5 linked regions of the Kluyveromyces lactis genome follow. The protein of the gene in region 5 purifies or fractionates together with the protein of the main gene of each other region. This does not show direct contact. Links are inferred from orthologs where the notes say so. Each region holds a gene or a part of one and is shown on either strand. Other genes may lie near its edges.

Evidence for each region.
Region 1: the proteins of TPD3 (region 5) and RTS3 purify together in Saccharomyces cerevisiae (affinity purification with mass spectrometry; 4 studies listed by BioGRID). This does not show direct contact. The link is inferred for Kluyveromyces lactis from reciprocal best matches to the Saccharomyces cerevisiae genes TPD3 and RTS3.
Region 2: the proteins of TPD3 (region 5) and RRD2 purify together in Saccharomyces cerevisiae (affinity purification with western blotting; 4 studies listed by BioGRID, with this or other methods). This does not show direct contact. The link is inferred for Kluyveromyces lactis from reciprocal best matches to the Saccharomyces cerevisiae genes TPD3 and RRD2.
Region 3: the proteins of TPD3 (region 5) and PPG1 purify together in Saccharomyces cerevisiae (affinity purification with mass spectrometry; 5 studies listed by BioGRID, with this or other methods). This does not show direct contact. The link is inferred for Kluyveromyces lactis from reciprocal best matches to the Saccharomyces cerevisiae genes TPD3 and PPG1.
Region 4: the proteins of TPD3 (region 5) and CDC55 purify together in Saccharomyces cerevisiae (affinity purification with western blotting; 14 studies listed by BioGRID, with this or other methods). This does not show direct contact. The link is inferred for Kluyveromyces lactis from reciprocal best matches to the Saccharomyces cerevisiae genes TPD3 and CDC55.

What each region holds. Positions count from the first base shown.
Region 1 is NC_006039.1:994,135-998,317, forward strand, and holds RTS3 (Rts3p), read right to left. Parts: upstream 2,396-4,183; coding exon 1,484-2,395; downstream 1-1,483. Other genes in the region: KLLA0_C11517g (gag-pol fusion protein), read right to left, coding at 1-502; KLLA0_C11561g (uncharacterized protein), read right to left, coding at 3,732-4,183. UniProt on the Saccharomyces cerevisiae protein: May be a component of a protein phosphatase type 2A (PP2A) complex. Negatively regulates SIT4 phosphatase, a modulators of caffeine sensitivity.
Region 2 is NC_006042.1:1,029,668-1,034,102, forward strand, and holds RRD2 (peptidylprolyl isomerase RRD2), read left to right. Parts: upstream 1-2,171; coding exon 2,172-3,254; downstream 3,255-4,435. Other genes in the region: DGA1 (diacylglycerol O-acyltransferase), read left to right, coding at 492-1,730; NuA4 histone acetyltransferase complex catalytic subunit ESA1, read right to left, coding at 3,357-4,435. UniProt on the Saccharomyces cerevisiae protein: PPIases accelerate the folding of proteins. It catalyzes the cis-trans isomerization of proline imidic peptide bonds in oligopeptides.
Region 3 is NC_006039.1:741,881-746,339, forward strand, and holds PPG1 (putative serine/threonine-protein kinase PPG1), read right to left. Parts: upstream 2,044-4,459; coding exon 1,009-2,043; downstream 1-1,008. Other genes in the region: ABZ1 (4-amino-4-deoxychorismate synthase), read right to left, coding at 1-348; ubiquitin-like protein HUB1, read left to right, coding at 650-874; mitogen-activated protein kinase kinase kinase SSK2, read left to right, coding at 2,674-4,459. UniProt on the Saccharomyces cerevisiae protein: Involved in glycogen accumulation.
Region 4 is NC_006042.1:840,787-845,554, forward strand, and holds CDC55 (protein phosphatase 2A regulatory subunit CDC55), read left to right. Parts: upstream 1-1,804; coding exon 1,805-3,163; downstream 3,164-4,768. Other genes in the region: COX13 (cytochrome c oxidase subunit VIa), read right to left, coding at 3,915-4,298.
Region 5 is NC_006042.1:725,789-730,972, forward strand, and holds TPD3 (protein phosphatase 2A structural subunit TPD3), read left to right. Parts: upstream 1-2,043; coding exon 2,044-3,876; downstream 3,877-5,184. Other genes in the region: PEX15 (Pex15p), read left to right, coding at 453-1,526; KLLA0_F07711g (endonuclease III domain-containing protein), read right to left, coding at 4,041-5,184. UniProt on the Saccharomyces cerevisiae protein: Phosphatase 2A affects a variety of biological processes in the cell such as transcription, cell cycle progression and cellular morphogenesis, and provides an initial identification of critical substrates for this phosphatase.

The sequences.
Region 1 (4,183 bases), on a different chromosome or scaffold from region 5:
CGCTTTCTTTCGAAGTTGTTGTTTCTTCCGACGTAATAGGTTCTTCCGAGGTGGTCAATTCAGTCGAGGTGGAAGGTGGTTCTGAAGTGATAGTTTCTTCTGAGGAAGTAATCAATTTTGAAGTAGAAGGTTCTTCAGAGGTAGTAGTTTCCTCTGAAGTAGTATCTTCAGGCACTGATTCAGTACTCCAGCAGTCTGTTGTCTCCGGCTCCGTTAAACTTTCGGTAGTATTTGGTTCCGTAGTAGTTTCTTCTGGCTCAGTTGATGATTTTGTTGTAACCTCTGTAGAAGGCCTGGTACATGAAGGGCAGATCGTTGAAGTAATAGTTGATGGCTCATCTTCTGTTGTCGGCTCTGGCATCGTGGAGTAACTAGTGATCGTAGTGCAATCTGGACAAATTTGTGAAGTAGATGTCAGAGTACTGGTAAAAGTTTTTGTGGAAAGTGCTTGGGCAAAAACACCTGCAAACAAAAACCAAGCGAATGTAACAGGGAATAGCATTTTAATTTAAGGTATTGCGATGTGAGTTGTTGTATACTGAAGGGTCTACCTGAAATTAATAAGTATCAAACCAAGTTGGCTAAAGTAGAAACAGAATAAGGATTAGTTTCCATAAAGAGTTTTCGATAGCGGTAGAATTCAGTCACTTTATATACAATAAGACTGACATGAATCACGATACATACGATCAGAATCTAGGTCAAAATTAATAGTCGTCCCGTTTCAACAAGAAACACGAGTTACATGAAAACATCTATTTATTTGTTTCCTGTTTATAGTTTGTAGTTGGCTTGTTGTTCTGACAGCCTTCTATCGCAGAAATAAGCTGCTTCGGAATTCTATGCTTTACTTTGACCTCTGCAAACCAACACAGGATACAGATCTATCGCCTCTTTGTCTACCAAAAATATTGTTGATTTCAGTCTGTCATTATAACCAGAAAAGGAAATTACAAAGAACGTCAAAAAAAAAGAAGTCACCAGCCTAATAGCGTGAATAAGCTTCAGGAGATTGACCACACACAGATGAAACAGTCACTGATCACATTTTCAAAGTTTTAGATCATCCTGAAACATACTCACTATTATACCGTACTAAAAAATATCCTTTCTAAATTTTCCGTTCTATCAAGCACACCTACAGGATGCAGAAGGGGAGTAGAATCGTTCTTACTTCGGTAAAAGAACGGTGAGTAAATTTAAATCTATGTAGTGTATAAGCGGTAAAATAGAGAGTTCTAGCCACCGAAGGTTATCACCATAGTGGGTAATATATATAAGGGGAGATGGGAGAAAACCGTGGGGATCCACTATTTAGGAATAGAATTCAACTTGAAATTGGGTAATGAAAAAAAAAAAAGCAAAGGCTAAATTACCCATCTTACCTGGACCTCTCATATGTGATCCTTACGAACTAGTAGGGGAAACGGGAGGGTCTGTAACCTCACTTAATAGAATTGAAAATAATAAGTATAATTTTGCTTCATCTTGCAACGGTAACTGAAGTTGTAGGAGAGCCTGCTCTTTTCGGTATCTTGCTAACAGAAGAGGGAGACAACGACATTGTATCTGACTCTTCCATAGGTCTGCCAGATGATCGTCTCCTTCTTGAACCACACATAATAGAGGATGCTCTGCGTGGTAAAGATTCGATACCTGTAGATAAATTCGGAGTTAACATTGTGCTGCCAGTTCTCAAAGTGGGGGAGTAACCTTCCATGAAATCAATTTCGTTTTTTGTAACTGAGTTACGTTTCCGTTGCAATTCTGGTGTTAAGTTATCCAGCAGTTGTGATGACGAAGATGGTCGTCTTGAATTTGCCGCACTAGAAGTACCTGTTATGTTACCCATTCCAACGCCCAGTAAGCCTGACGTCGACTGTTGTTGTGACGACAATTGTAACTGACTTAAGGACGAAGAGCTCGAGGAATTCGGTCTGGATGCCGACACTGGGTCGAGACTCATTGAAACGTCCGAATTATGCAGATTACTTGACAATTGGTTCAAAGACCGCCTCAACCGTACGTTCTCCTCTCTCAACAAATCTATCTCTTTCAACAGTCTCATCACCATCGCATCTTGTTCTTTTTCCATTTGATTGATAATCTCCTCGCTTGACAAGCGTCTACCAGAATGATGAGGAGGATGGAATGATCCAGGAGATGGTGGTGTACTATAAGCCGATGATTGTGACCCACGCTTAGTCCGCTTTGCAGTCTTGCCAGGGGAGGGAACCCTAAAAAAAGGCTTCTTCCTGAAGTCATCTTCTGATTCACTATCAGTAACAACAGCAATGGTATCTTGTGGTCTCATACCTTTTTGATCTGGTTTCTTCAATCCTAAAAACTTATTCTCACTTAACTCCGTACTCAACTGTGGTCTGTTCATATTCATCTTTGACAATCTCTTAAGAATAGTTCAACCTTTTGTAATTTTCAGATTTGTTTTTTAAACTTCTCGAGAAATCGCTACCACAATATTAATGATCTCTCTCTTTCTAACGTCTTTTTATCCTATTGCCTTTAGTTTCTAACTAACTTCTCCTTTTAACTAATTTGTCTTGTCTTCACGTCTTGCACTATCCAAATCGTTATCTATATGTGAATGACTTAAGGGGACAAAGGATTAATCAGCTTTTTTCTTTTTTCCTCTTTGGTCTTTTTTTTTTATCTTTCCTACTGTATTACAAAGATCAAACACAAGCTTACAAAAACTAACAATAATACGTATATACACATATCAGTAATTATTAATGATATATATACATTGGGCATATAAAGTGAAAAACGTGCAACTAAATGTTTCTCATAAACAATGGGAATTAGCAGGATACTTTTATACTGCATGGTTGATCGTATCAGGCACATCAATTCAACATTAGCTCAACATCAGGACACATTTCCAATGCTTTGATCTAAGCCTAATAGTTGTCATTGACGAAACCATTACTCTTACTTTTCCTGTATAGCTGTCATCTTTACGCTTTTTGTTCTTGATTTTTCCATAGTAACTGATGGATTTTTCTTAGTTTCATTCAACAGAAGTGATATCTTATACGAAGCGTGACAGAAAGCTGTCACAAAGGTTAGGAATTACAGAGTCAATTGAGAGCATTTTCCTTTTTTTTCTTCTTCCGTTGAGACTACGAATTTACGTTGAGACTTTGATAGGGTTCGGCCTGTTGAGAGATTTGTAAGTAATAACGAGGCTTAATATTTTTAGTTAACATTTTTCTTGTATGCAGGTAAGGCTTACAAAGACCAGGTCATTTTTTTTTTTTTTTTTTTTGGTTTATTTTTGGTCTTGGTCTTAGTTTTCGTGGAAACTCTTAGAGTCAGCCGGGGGTGAGTAGTTGGCAGGGATGTGGCTCGTTCAAGGATGCTGTGAAAGACGGAATGTTGATTGTCATTCAAAACCTAAATTTTGGACGGTCCTTGTTCTAGTAGAAGGGGGATTGTAGGATGGGATTATCATTATAATACATTTAGAAACGTTATGGGTCAATTCTAGGCCTTATACAGTATTTAGTTAGAAGTAGTACCCGTTGTTACGGTCAGTGAGCGGTGTTTGATTTTTTTTCAGTTTTGAGAAGAAGATTATCTCCGTATTCATTGAGTGTTTATCCAGCCTGTGAGATGAGGTGGATGTGGGGTGGGGGTGTGGGTGTGGGTAGATGAACTCCGAATTCAACAGTTATTGTAATTTCCCACTTCTTGTTCTGTTATTTGTCTTACCTCTGGTTCACGTGACCATTACTGTACACATTTGGATCATGGTTGGGGTCGATGTCAGGTACTGAAAGGGAAGGGTTTAGGTTTAGGACGTTGCTTGCTGCCGAGACGGCAGCAGCGGCGGCCGCAGCAGCAGCAGCAGCATTGTTGGAACCATCATTTTGGTCACTTTGAGTACTCTCCGTATCATCGGTCCTTGAATGCTGGATATCCAAGTATCTAACAACTTTTTTGAGTAGCGCGTCGTGACTTTCCAACATCTTGGTTAACTTCTCAACGTTTTCATTTATTTTGTTCAAAGTTTTGTTGGTAATATCATCTGTGGGTGAAGAAGTACCGCTAAATTTCCGTTTCCTTATCAGATTTGATGAGCTGAGACGATGTAGATCGTTGTGAATACGTTGTTGCTGCGGATTGTGGTGGTTATGGTGGTAGAAATGGCTCGAGGACG
Region 2 (4,435 bases), about 300 kb from region 5:
ACCCTTTAAATACAAGAGCCGGGCTCAGTAGTCTTTCGCGTCAGATTTTGAAGTCTATTTATATTTACTACTAGTTCATAAATTGGACATTGTATAGGAAAGATGCATTCCTCTACATAATATTTTTGTTAAATTAACTACCCATCATTACTTCCCTAAAACCATGTAAACTGATAGGTATGGTGCATACCAGTACAATTGGCAACAGCTTGCAACGTTAAGATTCAGTGATCTCAATTAAATTACGATTTTGACAGTTTTATTTTAAGGGAAAAAGTTGCTTTAAAACAGGAAAACGACATCAGGCAATGTTTTGCCTCAGTAAACAAAGATACAATTAATCGACAAAAGCTGGGCAGGTTCATTTTTTGTTGAACTTGAACGTCTAATATCATTTACTTCTGAGAATAGACGTAAATATCAGCTTATCTGTTTTACTTTGAGAAGGTTCGCTGCTAGGTAATTAAAGTTACTTCGAGGCTTGGAACAAGATGGGTAAGGAACAAATCAGAAAGAGACAAACTAAAAAGGTACGCAAGGGTTCACAACCCGTGGCAAATGGTAAATCTTCTGTAGTAGGGGTCTCCAAAGATGGGAAACCAGAATTTTGTGCTATTGATACGCCCATAGAAAGGAGACTTCAAACTCTCAGCGTAGCATGGTATGTCGAATGTATTCCGTTAATGATCATCATAATGTTGTTTGTTTGGGTTAACCCGTTGATGTGGTCGTTTGTAATACCATACACCATTTATTATTTCATAGACCGGACTGCCTCCAATGGGAACGCTGTGAAGAGACACTCCAAGTGGTTCCGATCTCTAAAGGTCTGGTTTTATTTCCGTGATTACTTCCCTATAAGTATGCACAAAAGCACTGAACTCGAGCCAACATTTACAAGTATTGATTCCACAGAGCTGGAAAATGATGCGAGTGAGCCAGGCTACCTGGATAGCTCACAGCCCGTTTTACCAGATAAATGGTGGAATCCTTTCAGAGAAAAGGATGAAACTGTTAGACCAACAGGACCGAGGTATATTTTTGGCTACCATCCACATGGTATAGCAGCATTCGGAGCGTTTGGAGCATTCGCTACCGAGGCATGTAATTGGAGTAAAGTTTTCCCAGGCATTCCAGTGTGTTTGCTTACTTTGGTAAATCAATTTCAAATACCAGTGTACCGTGATTATTTATTGGCCTTAGGCATAACATCGGTCGCTAGAAAAAATGCTATGAAAGTACTTGAGAAAAATTATTCAATAGCCATCGTAATTGGAGGTGCCAGTGAATCCCTTCTTACTAACCTTGGTTCATCTGATATCATTTTAAGCAAGCGGAAAGGTTTTGTGAAGTTGGCTTTGCAAACTGGGAATGTGAGTCTTGTACCTGTGTATGGATTTGGTGAAACTGATACTTACAAGATTCTGAAGCTTAAAAATGACTCTATAATAGGCAGGATACAGATATGGCTTAAAGAGAACTACAGCTTCACTGTCCCTCTATTTTTCGCTCGTGGTGTATTCAATTATGATTTTGGTTTACTACCGTTTAGACATCCAGTCAATGTTGTTGTTGGAAACCCTATTCATATTAAAGAAAAGATAGATCATCCAACAATTGAGGAGATTGATCATTACCATTCCTTATACATTGAAGAATTGAAACGTCTTTACGATGATAACAAGGCAAAATTTAACTATTCAGAAAAAACTTTAAATATAGTGGAATGAAACTCTTTACCAAAAAACTAAATAAAATATGATACTGCCTCGACGGTGAGGCAGCATTCAGTATTGTCTCTATATATCTGCATTACCACCAGACACTACAATTAAAAGTAAAATAATCCAAACCTTGCTAAAACGAAAAAACCTCCGCTTTTGTGAGTTGTACTCAGTCTCACCGTTTCCTTACTCTGTCACTAACAAATTCTCACGTAACTCATCAACAGTGACATCCTTCTTTAGTCGATCAATATATATCCTTTCCCACTTATTTATATTCCGTGCAGGTTGTTTACCTACCGTAACAAATCGTTTCGGGACTATAAGAAACCGAACATATTTTAGAACCTTTTTAGTAAGAAAAAGATTAAAGGATGGCTCTTAGCATCACAGAAGTAGAGCTGTACACGACGCAATACGATTGCAACCAGCATTTCCAGCTAAATCATGGCTATTAAGAGATTAATTAACGAGCATGATATGGAGTTATGGAATAACTCCAAGACGTTTGAAGACGTGATTGGATTTATTAATACCTTGGCATTGAGTGTACGGGGCAGAGAGAACAATGATTACACTCAACCAATTAGTGATAACGTCCAAAGAGTCTCTAACTTGTTATCAAAAGTAACAGAAATCATTGGGAAGCATGAGGTTATCAAAGATGCTAATACCTCGAGATTCGGTAAGATCGAATTTAGGGATTTTTATGATGACATTTCGGAGCACTCTAATGAGCTAATATCAAAGATATTTGAAGGCATTGAAAAACCTGACACAGGGAAGTTGGATGACATTTGTACGTATTTCATTAACTCTTGGGGGGATAGGTCAAGGATTGATTATGGTTCCGGTCATGAATTGAACTTCATATGTTTCTTGTACTGCTTGACAGAATCAAAGGTATTTGATCTGGAGAACGACAGCTCGAATATTGTATTGATGCTTTTCATTAAATATTTGGGGATAATGAGATCACTTGAGCTCAAATACTGGTTGGAGCCTGCTGGTTCTCATGGTGTTTGGGGTCTAGATGACTATCACTTTTTACCTTTTCTTTTCGGTGCATTCCAACTATCCACTCATAAGCATTTGAAACCAAAATCAATTCACAATCCAGAAGTCGTAGAAATGTTCCAAGACAGGTATCTATATTTCGGCTGCATTGCATTCATTAATAAAGTTAAAACCACAGCTAGTTTGAGATGGCATTCACCTATGTTGGATGATATAAGCGGGGTGAAACGGTGGTCAAAAGTTGCTGAAGGCATGGTAAAAATGTATAAGGCAGAGGTTCTACAAAAATTACCAATCATGCAGCATTTCTATTTCGGATATTTCTTGAAATGTCCCGAGGGCGTTAGTGAACCATCAGCACGCGCACAAGATCATCATGAAGATGATTCATGCTGTACTGATGGATCGCATGGTCATAGTACTTGGGCGGATTGTTGCGGTATTGCAGTCCCTAGTGCGATTGCGGCATCTCAAATGGCTAATAAAGACGTAAGACTATTTCCTTTTGATTGAATAATATTACATATGATGCGTATACCGAAACTTAACTACCCTTATATATACCAACATAACGTTAACAAACAATAACATAGACCGCAATTCACGATGCATTATTTACCATGCGAAACGTAATTGTGAAGCGGTAAATACTGGGGGTGTCCAGATTAATTTTTGAGGATCTATAGATCTCCTCTTATTATTCTTTAGCTTTTTGTACCTTTTCATCACATCGCTATTCAAATACAGTACATGCTGACCTCGATAGAACCTTAATATTTCTAAGGCTTTTGCAGTATGAAGAATATCAGTGGTAGTCATAGAGGAAATTGAACTAACTTCATCGATGGTGATTTCCTGGCCGTGCTCTACCAAAAGCTTAATCAAGGTGTCGGCCCAGTATGCTCTGTAAGATAACAAACCCAAATCCGATAACGGCTTTTCTGGTGATCCGACTTTACCCTCTTTCTTAGATAACTCATAAGAAAACTCGATTAATAGTCTACCGTAACCCATTCTTTGATATTGAGGTAGTGTTAAAATACATGCCACATTATAAGCATCAGCTGATTCCTTTTCCTTTGAGAAATAACCGACAATATGATGGCCTAGTTCATCACGCCTAGTCATACAGTAAAATAAAAATGGATCAACATCATAGTACAACGTTTTATGATCCAAGAAAAGTTTAGACAAAAGACATAGATTACGGCACCATGTCCTCTGTTTCCGACCATCAATTTCAAAGAAGGAAACATAGTCATCTCTATATATCTCGTTACCTGGAGGATGTCGTAGAGTACATTTCTTTCTGTATCGTTCATATTGTTTCTTTGATCCGAAATATTGTAGGGAAAAATCATCGATATATACCACATCCTCATCAGTCAACTCTATTGGATAAGGTGAAAAGTACCATGGCTCTATTTCATATTTGCCCATAATCACCTTGTTCAAATTTCTAACTCTAGCCACCTCATTCTGATTCTGTGTCATTGACCCCGATGTACGAAGCTTCTTTATTTCATCTTCTCTGGAAATATCTTCATTAGGAATCCCTTGTACATTCAAATTATCCAAATCCATCACATCCCCACCATCCGGAGTAGCACTGGCTGCTTGTGGTGTAGCACTTTTATTCTGTTGCTGCTTCTTTTTCTTCGAGTCTTTCTTCTCTTCAAGCTCTTTAGGCCTAG
Region 3 (4,459 bases), on a different chromosome or scaffold from region 5:
AAATACTTGGCCGTGTCTAACATTACCCAATTGTTCAACACTGGCACCATTCGCATGGCACATGACTTGGAAACCAAGACATATTCCGAGAATTGGAATAACATCGGAATCGTTAAACAAAGAAGCAATTATACCGATATCTGTGGGTCCGTTCACTGGATTACCAGGACCAGGACCAATGACAATCGCATCAAATAATCTCAAAAATGGTTTCAACTCATTGTAACTTTGAAAAGTGTCATTATGAATTGTGATTACCTCGATGTCTTGCCCCTGCTCCTTTATCAGCTCAACAACATTATATGTGAACGAGTCATAAGAGTCCACAAACAAAACAGAAAAAGTCATCCGTCTGCACAAAGAACGACCAATACTAGTACTCTATTTAGTGAACAACGTTTTTGGACAATCGTGTTGCTTGTCAGCTCAAGACTATTCAATGGGTAATGTTTACTTCCTTGTGTGGCAGAAGTAATATAAATGTGTCGATGAGCAGAGAGTTCTTACTTTTTTATTTCTACTATTACGAAATTATATAGAAAAGAATGTATTATAAACATGCTGAGCACTAAATGATTGAAGAACAGAAGCTCTTTAAACACGTTTATTCCGTGTTTCATACCATTGAGTTTGAATAGACAAATTTAATATGATTGAAGTACTAGTAAACGATCGTCTTGGAAAAAAAGTCAATGTAAAATGTTTAAGCGAAGATACTGTTGGTGATTTTAAGAAGGTATTGAGTGTACAATTGGGGACTGCGTCAGCATCCAAGATTGTGCTACAAAAAGGTGGTAGCGTATTGAAAGATCACATAACTTTAGAAGATTATGAAGTTCACGACGGAACTAATTTGGAGTTGTATTATGTGTAAGTTTGTAAAAACATATATGATTTATCTATAAAAATTAGCTTGTATATTATACTCAATATTTGAATATGAGATGGGACTATACCATTAGCGAAAGGGAAAAAAGAGTTAGAGATAAGCATACAGTTACATTTGCTTCATAAAAAATAGTCAACTTGTCTTTTCAGAGCATATTTTGCTTGGTGCTCATCGGAGAATACGTCATATTGCCCCATGTGTGCATCGTCATCTTCTTCGAAGAAGGAATGTAAAGTTTTATCATTAAGCATTGGATCTGTAAGTAGTTTATTTTCTGGAGCTTCATCGAACACGTTAAAGTGAAAGTCTGTTGGTGAGTATAATTCTAAAATAGATGCTTTATTCCCACAACGATAACAGTAATTGGGAGCGGACCAAACAGTGGTGACTTTCCCTCCAAAATAATCCTGATATCCCTCGTTACATAGTTGATGAGCTCTGAGCATCTTTGTGACACCATTGATGCTAAAAAATTTGTCCACTATAGCTTTACCGAAAGTGTAACCAGCACCTCTCGGTGAGACTTTGAATTGTGAAGAAGTGATATCGTTTCTGTCGTCTTCAGGGTCTGACCAGACCAAATCTGCCATGGCGCCATCATGTGGGATTTCTCTGATCCTATCGATAATCCGTATTTGATCAATGGATTGAATATTGGGTGAAAGTCCACCATGAACGCAGAAAATTGTATCATCAATGATACATGCAAGAATCAAATAATCGAATAGATCCGTGAAATACTGCCATACTTGACTTCCCTCGCCAAATTTGTTCAAACATTCCGTATAAAAACCATAACTCTGGGTGATCTGACGTGATTCATGATTACCACGAATTAGATGAATACGGCTTGGATATCTAAGCTTTAACGTTATCAGCAAAGTAATTGTCTCCACACTGTACAACCCTCTGTCGACATAATCACCCAAAAACACGTAATTTGTGGACGGCAGAGGTCCACCAATATGGAATATCTCTAAAAGATCATGGAATTGACCGTGAATGTCACCAACAACAGTCACAGGCGTACTGATATGAACAACATTAGATTCTCTCACTAGCAATTCCTTTAATTTGAAACACAACGCCCTGATCGTCTCAGCAGGAAGTAGTTTCCCCTCATATAGCTGTTCCAAACACCAATCGAGTTCCATAAATATGATATGTAATATCCTCAGTACGGATTGAAATTTTTTGACAGCTCACTAATGGGATATTTTATCCTCCCTTAATGCATGGATCCCAACGCTAGCTAGAATACCTTAAGATGCCCAACAGATAAACCTTACCACCTAGCGATGAGTCGTTCACCCCATATTCTTTGTTTAGCAAACTTTACGGCTGGAAAGATTTCAACTTTTCTTTGTAAAAATCAATAACATTAAAAAAAAAAAAATTATCATGTCAAGAACCAAATTAAAGGTTCATAGGTACCGAGCAAAGTAGCTAAAGTGTGCCAGCCATTCGGATTAGAACAGCGACGAGATCGTTATAAAGATAGGTTATAATTGCTAAGAAACACAACTGGTGTGCGGCAAACTCGAAATAAAGGGGATTTGCTTTGTAATTTTCGGGGCTACTTGTCAATTCATTGTCTATAAGGGCATTCTTCCCGGTCTTTCAGAGATTACACAATCTTAAGGAAGAAAGAGAATTGGTGGATTTTTTAAAGGGCCACTTTTACGTTTGTACTGTACAACAAAGTAACGCTCTGTTTTTTGCTTTATCTGTTTTCCTTCACGTTTGGTTTAGATTGAGCCTCTCTCAGTTCGTCGTTTAAAGCCATGTCGCAAAACAACGATAGCAGAGACGAGGCATATGTCAGGGAGCAATTCCAAAGATATACGACTAAGATGGCTTCTAATAAGAATTCCAATACTGATTCGAAATGTAGAAGTACTTCACATCTGAATTCGCTGGCTTCGATTTCAAGTGACACTTCAAATGAAACTTTAAAGGGAAATTTATCAGCAGCTTCGCCTACGTTTTCATCAGATTCTACTCTGAGTACTAAAAAACTGCCAGTTCTACAGACGCTTCCGACATCTCTGCCAAATGGACAGCATCAACAGGGGCAGCTCTTTCCTGCTTCTTCTTCAAGCTCCTCAGCAATATCTTCAAGGAAACCAAGTGTGTCTGGTTCCTTTGGAACGCAGACTCCGACTACAGCTCAGTTGAAAACTATAACATCGCCCAAACTCAGCGGTGCACTTTCAACAAGGTCAAGGTCTAATTCGCTCACAAGCTCCAAACTATTTGCGCTGAACCAATCCAATGATTCTCCGTCATCGACCTCGGTTTATCCCGTACCGCCTAATGTCGCTTCGTTGAACTCTCAAACAGCTAGTTCAATGTCAGTTTCCACATCAGCGGACCAATATTTTCCAGCACAACAGAATGGTTCCACTACAACAGTAAATTTAACTCCAACGTTGTCTTCTCCATCGATTAGATCACTGAATAATAGCACCACCAGTACCACGAAATCGTTCAAACCTTTGCAAAAGCAATACGTACTCAATGAACAGCTTTATCTAAGCTCGATGAAAAATAAAAAAGCAGATGATTATTACACGCGAGGAATAACGTCTTCTGGAAATGAAGATGATGATGATTTTAGAGTGGATGGAGAAAACGATGATGTTGATAATGACCTAAGCAAATTGAATAATGGACTGGGCTCTGCAATTTTCGGAAATAATATCGCAACGACAACAGATAAAGGCTTTCATTCCATCGATGATGATGAACTTGTATTAATGAATGATAAAATCTTACTTGAAAGGATGGAATGGTTACGCTCAGTGGAACCGAATAACCCTCTAATAGAAAATTCATTGAACCTGTTGAATAAAACTGGTGGCTCTACGGACAGTCTTGAGAGCTTTTCAAATATTGAAACGCAGCTTGCTTTGGAACAACTCTCGAATAATCATTTAGTCAGAGAAAGGCTAGAGTGGCAGACTATGCTCTCGAGCGTTTTGAATGGTGATATTGTTAAGAGTGAGAAGACAAAACTTGCGAAACGCAAGCCTGATGAAATTTTACTGAATCATAATGATCTAATATGGTTAGAACTTAAGGCTTGGTTAAATGGTAGAACCGTCGAAGATCAACGTAAATCATTGGAATATTCTAAAACTACTGCTGATGAGGTATTCGAAGAAATCTTGAACTATAAAAATGAAAAAGAAGAAAACCCTGAAGTTGTCATAGAAGAAGCCAAAATACTATTGAATAAATATTACAAAGTGGTTGGATATTGGAAAAATCTCCCCAATATGAATCTCGAGAAACCTGTAACCAAAACCTCTAATTTTGTAAGCAGAATTGAAGCACTCAATTCGTTGATAAACTCGTACGAAGGATTACAATATGAGATAGAGGCATTGAAACAATGGACTCAAAATGATGATTTGGATGTAACTTTTACGAAAGATTCGTTAGACACTGAAGGTATCTTCAAAAATGACAGATCTTTCGCAGAACAAATTATGAAAGAGAAGGACATCGAAGGTATCTTTCAGAAAAAGATCTTTTTCAAGCATGCCCCTTGGATGTTCAAGAGCA
Region 4 (4,768 bases), about 110 kb from region 5:
ATATAGCAAAACTTATAAGACATACCAATAGTGTCAATTGCACGACACCAATAGTAGCCTTAACAGTCTATTATCACGACGCCAAAGAATCTAAGGTGTTTGATGATGTCTTGGAAAAACCTGTAAGCGTGGAACAGTTACGGAAACTTGTGTCCAAATATGCGCTACTTAAGTCACAAAACGAAGAAGACACGCTTCTGAGTGACACAGAATCTTGAACAGCGAATAGACTTCGAACTCACGAATTGTCCTAAATATATATATATATATATATATATATTTATACTAGTCAATGCATACATACATATACACACTCTCTTTTATTGTGAAAGCTATGGATATAGGAACCTTATTGATAATTATAATGAATTTGACGTAGTCCTTCTGCAGCATTCAAAAAAAATAAAAAATAAAATAAAGGGAAAACTCAGATTTAAGGAAAGAATGCACAGAACCACCCCTTAAAGAATGATATACTTACCGAAGGTGTCAGGAAGATACACACACACACACCAGAGAGCTATCAGCACAATCGAGTCCTAAGCGGTTGTAGCAGCAAGTGTGTTACATACAGGAATAATTGATACAAGCTATTATAATTGCCGCTGTTTCTTTGCTTCTTTTTTAATCATCAAGTTCCCTTATTTGACGCTCAGATTCACTACACTTTTGGTCATATAACGTTTAATAAGAGAGCAGCAACAAATTACTAAAAGCAAATATACATCATTCATTTGATAGTCTTTTCTTCACTACATTTGCAAAGCTATAGTTTCCCTTTTAAAACAAACAAGAAGTGTCTGTTTTCAGTTAATGATTCTTACTTTTTATTGGAACTTAGAACACATTATTGATTGCTTCTCTACTGTAAGACAGCTGGATTGATAGTTACAGTGAGAAATTTGCCAATTGGACACACGTATTCCTTTTTATCGTTTTGTTTAACGCTGAAAATCCTTCGCAAAGCTTCCCCAGAGTACCCCCAATTAATCGTACTCTAGATATTCCCAAGTTTAAAATAGTCAAGTATCCTCTGGTAAACCCTTTCCATTTACTAGATTTACGTATTGCAGAGGCAAAAAAAGAAGAATTCTTCGAATCGTTCTAAGCGTCTTTTAGCCTCTCTTTTTTAAATCTACAAAATAACAGCATTATTATTTGCATCGCTATTTGTTAGAGCCAGCTCAACTGTTACATTTCTGACGCTCGTAAAGTGCTTTACTGTACCCCGTCAACCGTTCTCACGTGAAGTGCCTGCAGTTTTCTACCCACAAATCAATCGATTTTTCCTTCTTTTATCAAGAAAATCGTGAAATCGTCGAATTCTGATTTTTTTCTTCCAAAGAAAAGTTTTAGGAAATCGGAAACATTAAAGTTTTCTAGTTAAAAAAGTGTAAAGAAGGAAAAAGGGTTCTTCCTTGAAGTTAAAACACCGTTGACACGGTACCTTACAATCGTCTTTGAGAATTCAAGTGTTCCCAAGCACAGTAATTGTTGGTGAGCTCGTCACAATACACGTTAATAGCAAGTTTTAAGTGCGAATTTTGGGTTTTACTTCTATTCCCCTTTCTCAAAATCAGATTTCCCTACAGTTGAAAGAAAACTGAAAAGAAAAAGATCTGATTGCGTATACTTATCTGTTACTGTAGTCTGGTGGCCAATTCCAGTGTACATCTTTTGTTTCGACTTGGTTTAAACCTTTTGTTTTATTTCTGAAAAGCAGTTTAGCTGGGATCAGTTGTTTTATCTGTATTGGACGCGTGTGTTTTATTAGATTCCTCGATAGGAAGCGTTGGTAAGAGATATGTCACAGCACGGGTTCGATTTCAAGTTCAGTCAATGCTTTGGTGATAAAGCAGATATCGTGGTTACAGAGGCAGACATTATAACGGCGTCGGAGTTCGATCATACAGGTGATTATCTTGCAACCGGTGATAGAGGTGGACGTGTAGTTTTATTTGAAAGGAACAATACAAAGCATTGCGAATACAAGTTTCTAACGGAATTTCAGTCACACGATGCAGAATTCGATTATTTGAAATCTTTAGAGATTGAGGAGAAGATTAATCAGATCAAGTGGTGTCGGCCAACGAACCAATCGCATTTCTTGTTAAGTACAAACGATAAGACGATTAAGTTGTGGAAGATATATGAGAAAAATATCAAATTGGTTAGTGATAACAATCTATCAGAGGGAAATAAAGACTACCACAGACGCTCTGCTGGGAACGGTAGCGCAAGAGCTGTACTGTCTTTGCAGACTTTGAAGTTACCCAAGCTGTCCTTACATGATAGAATTATAGCTGCTGCACCAAAGAAGATTTATAGTAATGCTCACACCTATCACATCAATTCGATATCGTTGAATTCAGATCAGGAAACGTTCATCAGTTCAGATGATTTGAGAATCAACTTATGGAATTTAGATATACCGGACGAATCATTCAATATTGTTGATATTAAACCAGCCAACATGGAGGAACTAACAGAAGTCATTACAAGTGCAGAATTCCATCCTCAACAGTGTAATGCTTTCATGTATTCTTCATCGAAGGGGACCATCAAATTATGCGACATGAGACAGAATGCTCTTTGTGATTACCGAGCTAAGGTGTTCGAAGAATACCTTGACCCAATAAGTCATAATTTTTTCACAGAAATCACTTCATCAATATCTGACGTCAAATTCAGTCCTGATGGTCGTTATATTGCATCTCGTGATTATTTAACCGTTAAGATATGGGATATTAACATGGATAATAAGCCATTGAAAACGATAAATATCCATGAACAACTAGAAGAAAGATTAAATGATACTTATGAAAATGATGCTATATTCGATAAATTCGAAGTTGCTTTCAGTGGTGATAGTTCAAGTGTAATGACAGGATCATACAACAATAACTTTATGATTTATCCCAACGTAGTAAAAACGGGCGATTATCAAGCACCTACTGGAATGGATGAAATTGTATTACAAGCAGATAAGACTGCATTTAAATCAAAGAGGTTGAGTAGTTTGCAACAGCAAAGTGCGAGAAATAAAGAATGGGGTGATGAAATTGATTTCAAAAAATCCATTCTGCATTTCTCTTGGCATCCAAGAGAAAATAGTGTTGCCATTGCAGCCACTAATAATTTGTTCATCTTCTCGGCATTGTAATTTTACTCCTCATCAAGTTGTAATCAATAGTGTTACAGTTTGCCATTTTACATACGTATATCCATATGTACATATAATCTCTAATTTTCTCGTCGAATTAAATAACATATCGAAGGTAAACTAATAGCTCGGGGCATAGCTTCAAGTGTGCTCCGGATATATTCTGGATATATGTTGTATATACGCTGTACCAGCGTATCACTTTTCGTTTTCCCCTTATTTTTTGTTCGGTTAACAATGGGGAACAATGTAAAGTTAAAGTTTTTGGAACGTAAAGTCAGTTTGTATTCATCATTCGTGAAAAAAAAGTAAGTATTGAGTTACTAAAGACGTTTGCCATAACGCTGAGCATATCGAAGTTGATGTACTGCTTGTCACAGATTCAGTACAATAGATATTGATAATGAAGAAACTTATATCTACTTATGATCATTGACACAGTGTGACGTGTTTTATTCTATTTTTCTAGGACTGAATTTACAATAAAGATAAAAAGTGTGTTTATTCTTCTTGAGTTAAATAATAATTATTTGTATGGTGGAAACTCCACTATAAAGTTTATCCATATGTTTGTTGTATTTTGAAGTATAATGCCAGATTAAACGGATGTTTGAATTCTTTTGAAGATAATTTGAGGATATTTGATAAAAGGTGTTTTAAAAGATAAAAAAACCCACAGGCAGGGGCTATCTTGATATTTCATTATGAATGGCCAAAGCCCAACAAGTTGAGATCATTTATCGAACTGTGTTTAATCGTGAGAGACGTGTCTGTTAATGACTGGGTTCCAGAACAAAGTCTTGTCACCGTCACCCCAGAAGAAAGGCTTTTGTCTTAAGTTTTGGAATTCGTAGTCTCTTGGCCATTCTTCATCTGGAACGTGCTTCAAATGTTCACGGTGCTCAGCGTGTTCAGCTTCAACGAAGTAGGTGTTGACAGCGGTCAGAGCAATAGCTGGAGCAGCAACAAATATGGAGATCTTAACCCACAAGTTAGAGGTTTGCTTAGCGTGCTCAGTACTGTGCTTCATGTAGTCCTTGTAAGCTTGGGCAGCAGCCAAATCTGGCTTACCGAAAGCTGGTTCCAAAGCATACTTTGGTAGAGTAGAAGCTCTTCTAATGGCTTGTTTGAACATTTTTGATTATATCTAGGGTCTGGCTTTTCGAAACAGAATATCCTTATGGAATTAATTCACCAAACACAGTTGACGTTAAATAGATATCAAACTCGAAATGAATGTAAAATGAATTGTAAACAGTAAGAAAACTAATCACAAAAATCTCTTTTAAAAAAGTACTTTGACTTACCAATAAAACCTTTTCTATTATGGAAAGAGTAGCTTTAATAACTTGAACTTTCCTAACTATTAAACAATTTTTTTTTTCCTACCTCCAAAATTTTCTAGCATCAACACAATCTCTCTCGCGATATTTCCATATCCCACTCCATATAAAAAACCAAAAATGGCACGACGGAGAAACTAGACAAAGATCATGCTTTTTCGATGTTGTAATTTCGGTATCACATTACACGGTATGAAAATGATTGGTTGCTGGTCACGAGAGACTTAAGTTCTGGTAATGGACACTGAGCATAAAAGGTTCC
Region 5 (5,184 bases):
ATCTAATACTATAAGGGGAACCTCTAAAAACATCCAAGACACGTAAGGTTACGTGTCAAAGGCCCATTATCAGGTTCATCTTAACTCATTTATTGATCAAGGTTCATAATGCAGCTTCTATAATCTTCTTCCATTTCATGAAGTCAAACAATATCACGTGCTAAAATCACATATGCCAATAATTAAGGAAGGCTATCCCAGAGACACCATAAGATACCAGAATATATTCAAATTAGTCTGCAACAGGTGGTGACGAACCTGCGGCGTTATGCAATCGTAACTCTATTGAATTTATGTCAGTTCATAGTTTTTCTATTCCAAGGGCATAACCATCAGCATAAATTATTTTGATAGAAATAGCTTTACCTGAACCTTCTTGAGCCAAGTAAAGGCAAGAGTGAAGATAAGGGGTTCACAGATAATGAGAGGTTAGTGTCCAATAACCGGATAGAATGATGAGCCAGAAAAGTTTTCAAGTGGTCGACACGACGAGGTTGGAACAGCTTCTTGATGATGATCGGTTCAGGTTGAATTTACAACCTGTTGATATAGAGAAAGAGCATGCGCAAGAATGCTTAGATCTCTATGTAAAAGGTGACCTTAAGGAATGTCTCGAACTGATGTATGAATATGGGCTGTTGAACAGCAACAAGATGCAAACGTCCTTAAAATCATGGCAATTAATGATGGACTGCGTGAGTCAAATGAATAATGTTGGGGTAATCGGAACGAGTCTAGATAAGCGATTGAAGGAATGGTTCACCAATGAGGAATTACTTCTAAGACTAATCAAGATGAAGCCGTTGAGTGATCAATTGATTATCACGTACCAATTCTTCTATTCTTCCTTGAAATTTTGGAAGAGAAACGTTAAACAAAACTATGAACACATCGATGAATTATCCATTTCATGCAAGGAACTACTCTTACAAACTTCAAGAAGATGCCAAACAGTAACTGAGATTCAAAACCTAAGTCAAATACTAGATTTCTTGATATTTGACGTTCAAATAGAAACGTTACAAAAGAAGGCCAGCATCACGATGTACACTCGATTTTGTCAGCTAGACGACAAATTGCAGAGCAAGCTCAAGGCGAACAAGGTGAAGCACGCTCAATCCGTGGATATAGACACCTATTTCCGCGAAAAACTACAACCTAAACCAAAGCCGAAGCCAAAATCAAAGAGTAGATCGCTGAAGCCAAAAAATCAAGTCCAGATCGGTGCAGCAACTACATCAACGTCGACAACAGCCGTAATAGCACCTGCATCTACGCAAAGGATGAATTTGTCCTATATACGACGCTTGACAACCTATCTACCTAGATGGTTACCTGTCTGGGCTCAATCGGTACAATGGTCACCGCAATTACTGGCATCGCTTATTATCTTCGCAATATCAATGGTACTACCCCTTGCAAGAAGATCAAAAACGTTCAATATCATATGGATGCACAGCAAAGATAAAGCATCCACCATAGTAAGACTTTTCATCCATGCAGTGAACACTTTAGCATCGCTATGAGATGCCTACGCACATATTCATGTATCTATATATTTATCCAAAGTTACCCTACACAACGAACATCTTCATTACCCTACCGAGACCATCAATCACGTGACTTTGGGTTCTCTCCCCCCTTCTTGTCCCCTTCCTCCCTCATAACGTCAGTGGAAGGAAGGAAAACTTGATGAAACTGAGATTTGGATTGTTTGGTGAGAAATCGATGAAAGTCGAAATTTGAAAATAATTAAAAATATACATTTGGGTTTATCAAGAACAAAACATTAGGGTTATACTATCTTTGTATGTTTTCACAATTGGAGAGGACACAAGAGGGCAGAGAAAAAGGTTTGGGCTTCGATTTTACCAGAAGATCAGGAATTTAGACAGTGTACTTATATTTAGAGGAACGAGAACGGTGTGGTAAGCCAAATATCTAACAAATTTCTTTCTCAGTTTCAAGAATAAATTTAATTTCCGCAATTATTACCCAACTTTAGACAGGCTCGGGGAACTTTTTAGCAGTGTAAGAAATAACATGGGCGATAATAGCGACAGTAAAGTGAATCTCTATCCATTAGCTTTGCTAATGGATGAATTGAAGCACGATGATATTTCTAATAGGGTTGAAGCAATGAAAAAACTGGACACCATTGCTTTAGCCTTGGGCGTTCAAAGGACGCGTGATGAATTGATTCCATTTCTAACCGAAGTGGCTCAGGATGATGAAGATGAAGTGTTTGCAGTCTTGGCTGAACAATTAGGTAATTTTGTGCCGTTTGTTGGAGGTAGAAAATATGCCACTCTGCTATTGCCTGCTTTGGAGATTCTTGCATCAACCGAAGAGACGTTGGTGAGAGAAAAAGCAGTTGATTCATTAAATATGGTAGCCGAACAGTTGACTGAGGAACAATTGCTGCATGATTTTGTGCCTTTGATTGAAAATCTTGCCACCAATGAATGGTTTTCTTCCAAAGTATCAGCTTGTGGGTTGTTCAAAGCAGTTTTCGTTAGAATTCAGGATGATAAGTTTAGAAAAGATTTGTTATCGTTGTTCTTGCAATTGATACAGGATGATACTCCAATGGTTAGAAGAGCTGCGGGCAGAAACTTACCTACCCTTGTTGACCAATTGACTGAGCATCCAGAATTGTCAACAGATGACGAATGGGACTATATCTCTAGTATGTTCCAAAGATTGGTCAATGATTCTCAGGATTCGGTGAAATTTTTGGCTGTTGATGTCTTGATCTCAATCTTGAAATTTTTCAATAAGAAAAAGGACTTCACACATACGAAGGATCTATTACAATCTTCCATTCAATTAATCGGGGACGAAGCATGGAGAGTTAGGTACATGGCTGCTGATAGATTCGAGGAACTTGCTTCTCAGTTCGTTTCGAATCCACAATATGTCAGCGAATTGTTAGAACCATTCTTAGCTTTGTGTCAAGATAACGAAAGTGATGTCAGGAAAGCCATCGCAAAACAAATTCCTGGCTACGCAAAATTGCTTAATGACCCATCTGTTATCTTAAATAGAATTATACCTGCTGCTCAGAATCTAAGCATCGATGAAACAGAATGTGTAAGGGCTTCTTTGGCTTTGGAGATTACAAACTTGGCGCCTTTGCTACCAAAGCAAGACTCAATGGATAGTTTAGTTCCAATACTTCTACATATGTTGAAAGATGAATTCCCAGATGTCCGTTTGAATATCATTGCCAAATTGAAAATCGTCAATGAATCTGTCGGAATCGAATTTCTATCTGAGAATTTGCTACCCGCCATTACAGAGCTTGCTAAGGACCCCAATTGGAGAGTAAGATTGGCCATTATTGAATATATTCCTCTTCTCGCAGAACAGTTGGGGATGGAATTCTTTGATTCTAAACTAAGTGATTTGTGTCTATCGTGGTTGTGGGACGGTGTTTACTCTATCAGAAGTGCTGCTATCACAAATCTAAGTAAACTAACTGAAATCTTTGGTTCAGATTGGGCACAAGAAGAAATCATTTCTCGTTTACTAAAGTCGGACACTCAACTGTTAGAAAACTTCAACTATAGAATCACTCTACTATTTGCATTAACTGGGTTGGTCCCCGTTGTCTCCACAGACGTTGTTGTCGAAAAGATTCTACCATTCGTAAATCACTTATCCACAGATAACGTTCCAAACATTAGATTTAACGTTGCAAAGTTCTACGCTGTCATCGTAGAAGCGTTAACGAAAAATACTAATAAGAATCACATTGAACTAATCAATAATACCATTATTCCAACACTAGAAAAACTATGTCAAGATCCTGATGTCGACGTAAGGTTTTTCTCTGCACAGAGTTTAGAAAAATGTAAATCCTTCTTGTCCTAAGCGTAGCAGAATATTATAGGGCAACATCTATATAAACATGAATAATTATCACATTTATCTACACTTTACTATGGCATGTTTTAAGTGGCGGCATAGTACTAGAATTAGTACTAGAATTAGTACTGGATTTGTTACGCGCGATATCTAATTATGTACTCAATAAATCAGTTATCCTCGGTTTTCACTTCAGTATTCGATTCCGTAGAGGTAGTTTCCGCACTTCTATCCACATCATCAATCTCATTCTGCGAGAGTTCAGCTGCTCTCTCTTTTCTAAGGTAATTTATCCATTCCGTGTAATCACCCCTGTTGCTGTTCTTCACCGTATCTTCAAGCTCCAAACCGACTAGTTTCAGTAATTTTTTGTCAACCCCTGGGCAAATATCGTTCACAAGACATAATTCACACCTTTTGCTCCTTGGCATGCAGAGTACCTGTCCAAAGCCCACCAATACTGGATTTATTTCATACCACAAAGATCTCGGTAGCCATGACTCTAACTGTTTTCTAGTATGTTCAGGTGTCTTACAGACTTTAGGATCAACCCACTTCCACATCTTTGCAAGCCTATCAACATGAACATCAACCCCAATACCATCGATCTTGGCCCACGATTTTTGTAAAGCTAAATATCCCATTTTCGGTCCTACTCCCGGTAATGACATGAAGCCTTCTATTGTGGTGGGTACATCACCGTCAAATTGATCTCGGAGCATGACAGCAGCCTTTTTAATGTAGGAAGCTTTCCTTGTGTGGAACCCAACGCTGTAAATTTCTTTGTCTAGAATTTTCTCCTCAATCTTGAGTAACGAGCCCAAGGTGATACCTTCCGGATCACCTAACTCCTCCATACAATATTCCATTATATTATGCATAGCCTTGGCATTTACCTCATCTTTGGTCTGTGAAGATAACATCAAAGAAACTAAAAGTTGTAATCTGTAGTTCTTAGGTTGCATATTTGACTTTGATATTCCAAATACACCGTTTATGGTAATTGGCAGCATTGCACATCCAACATTGTCTACTGGAGTCTTTATCATCGATCTCATAAACCTTACTTTCGAGTATATCGACACAAAATTCGAAGGCATATTAGGGTTGTCCTCGATCTGAAGCTTTCTATTAAGGGAGATGTCATCATTAGTGAATTTTTGCACATATTTAAAGTACTCATCTGTACCCATAGTTTTTATTGCCTCGATTTCGGGATCCGTTTTAATGTCATGGTTACCTTCCACCTTAACTACCACTTGGTCTTCAGGTTCCTTCTTGAAATATTTCGACACAGTTTCTAATTCCACTTCA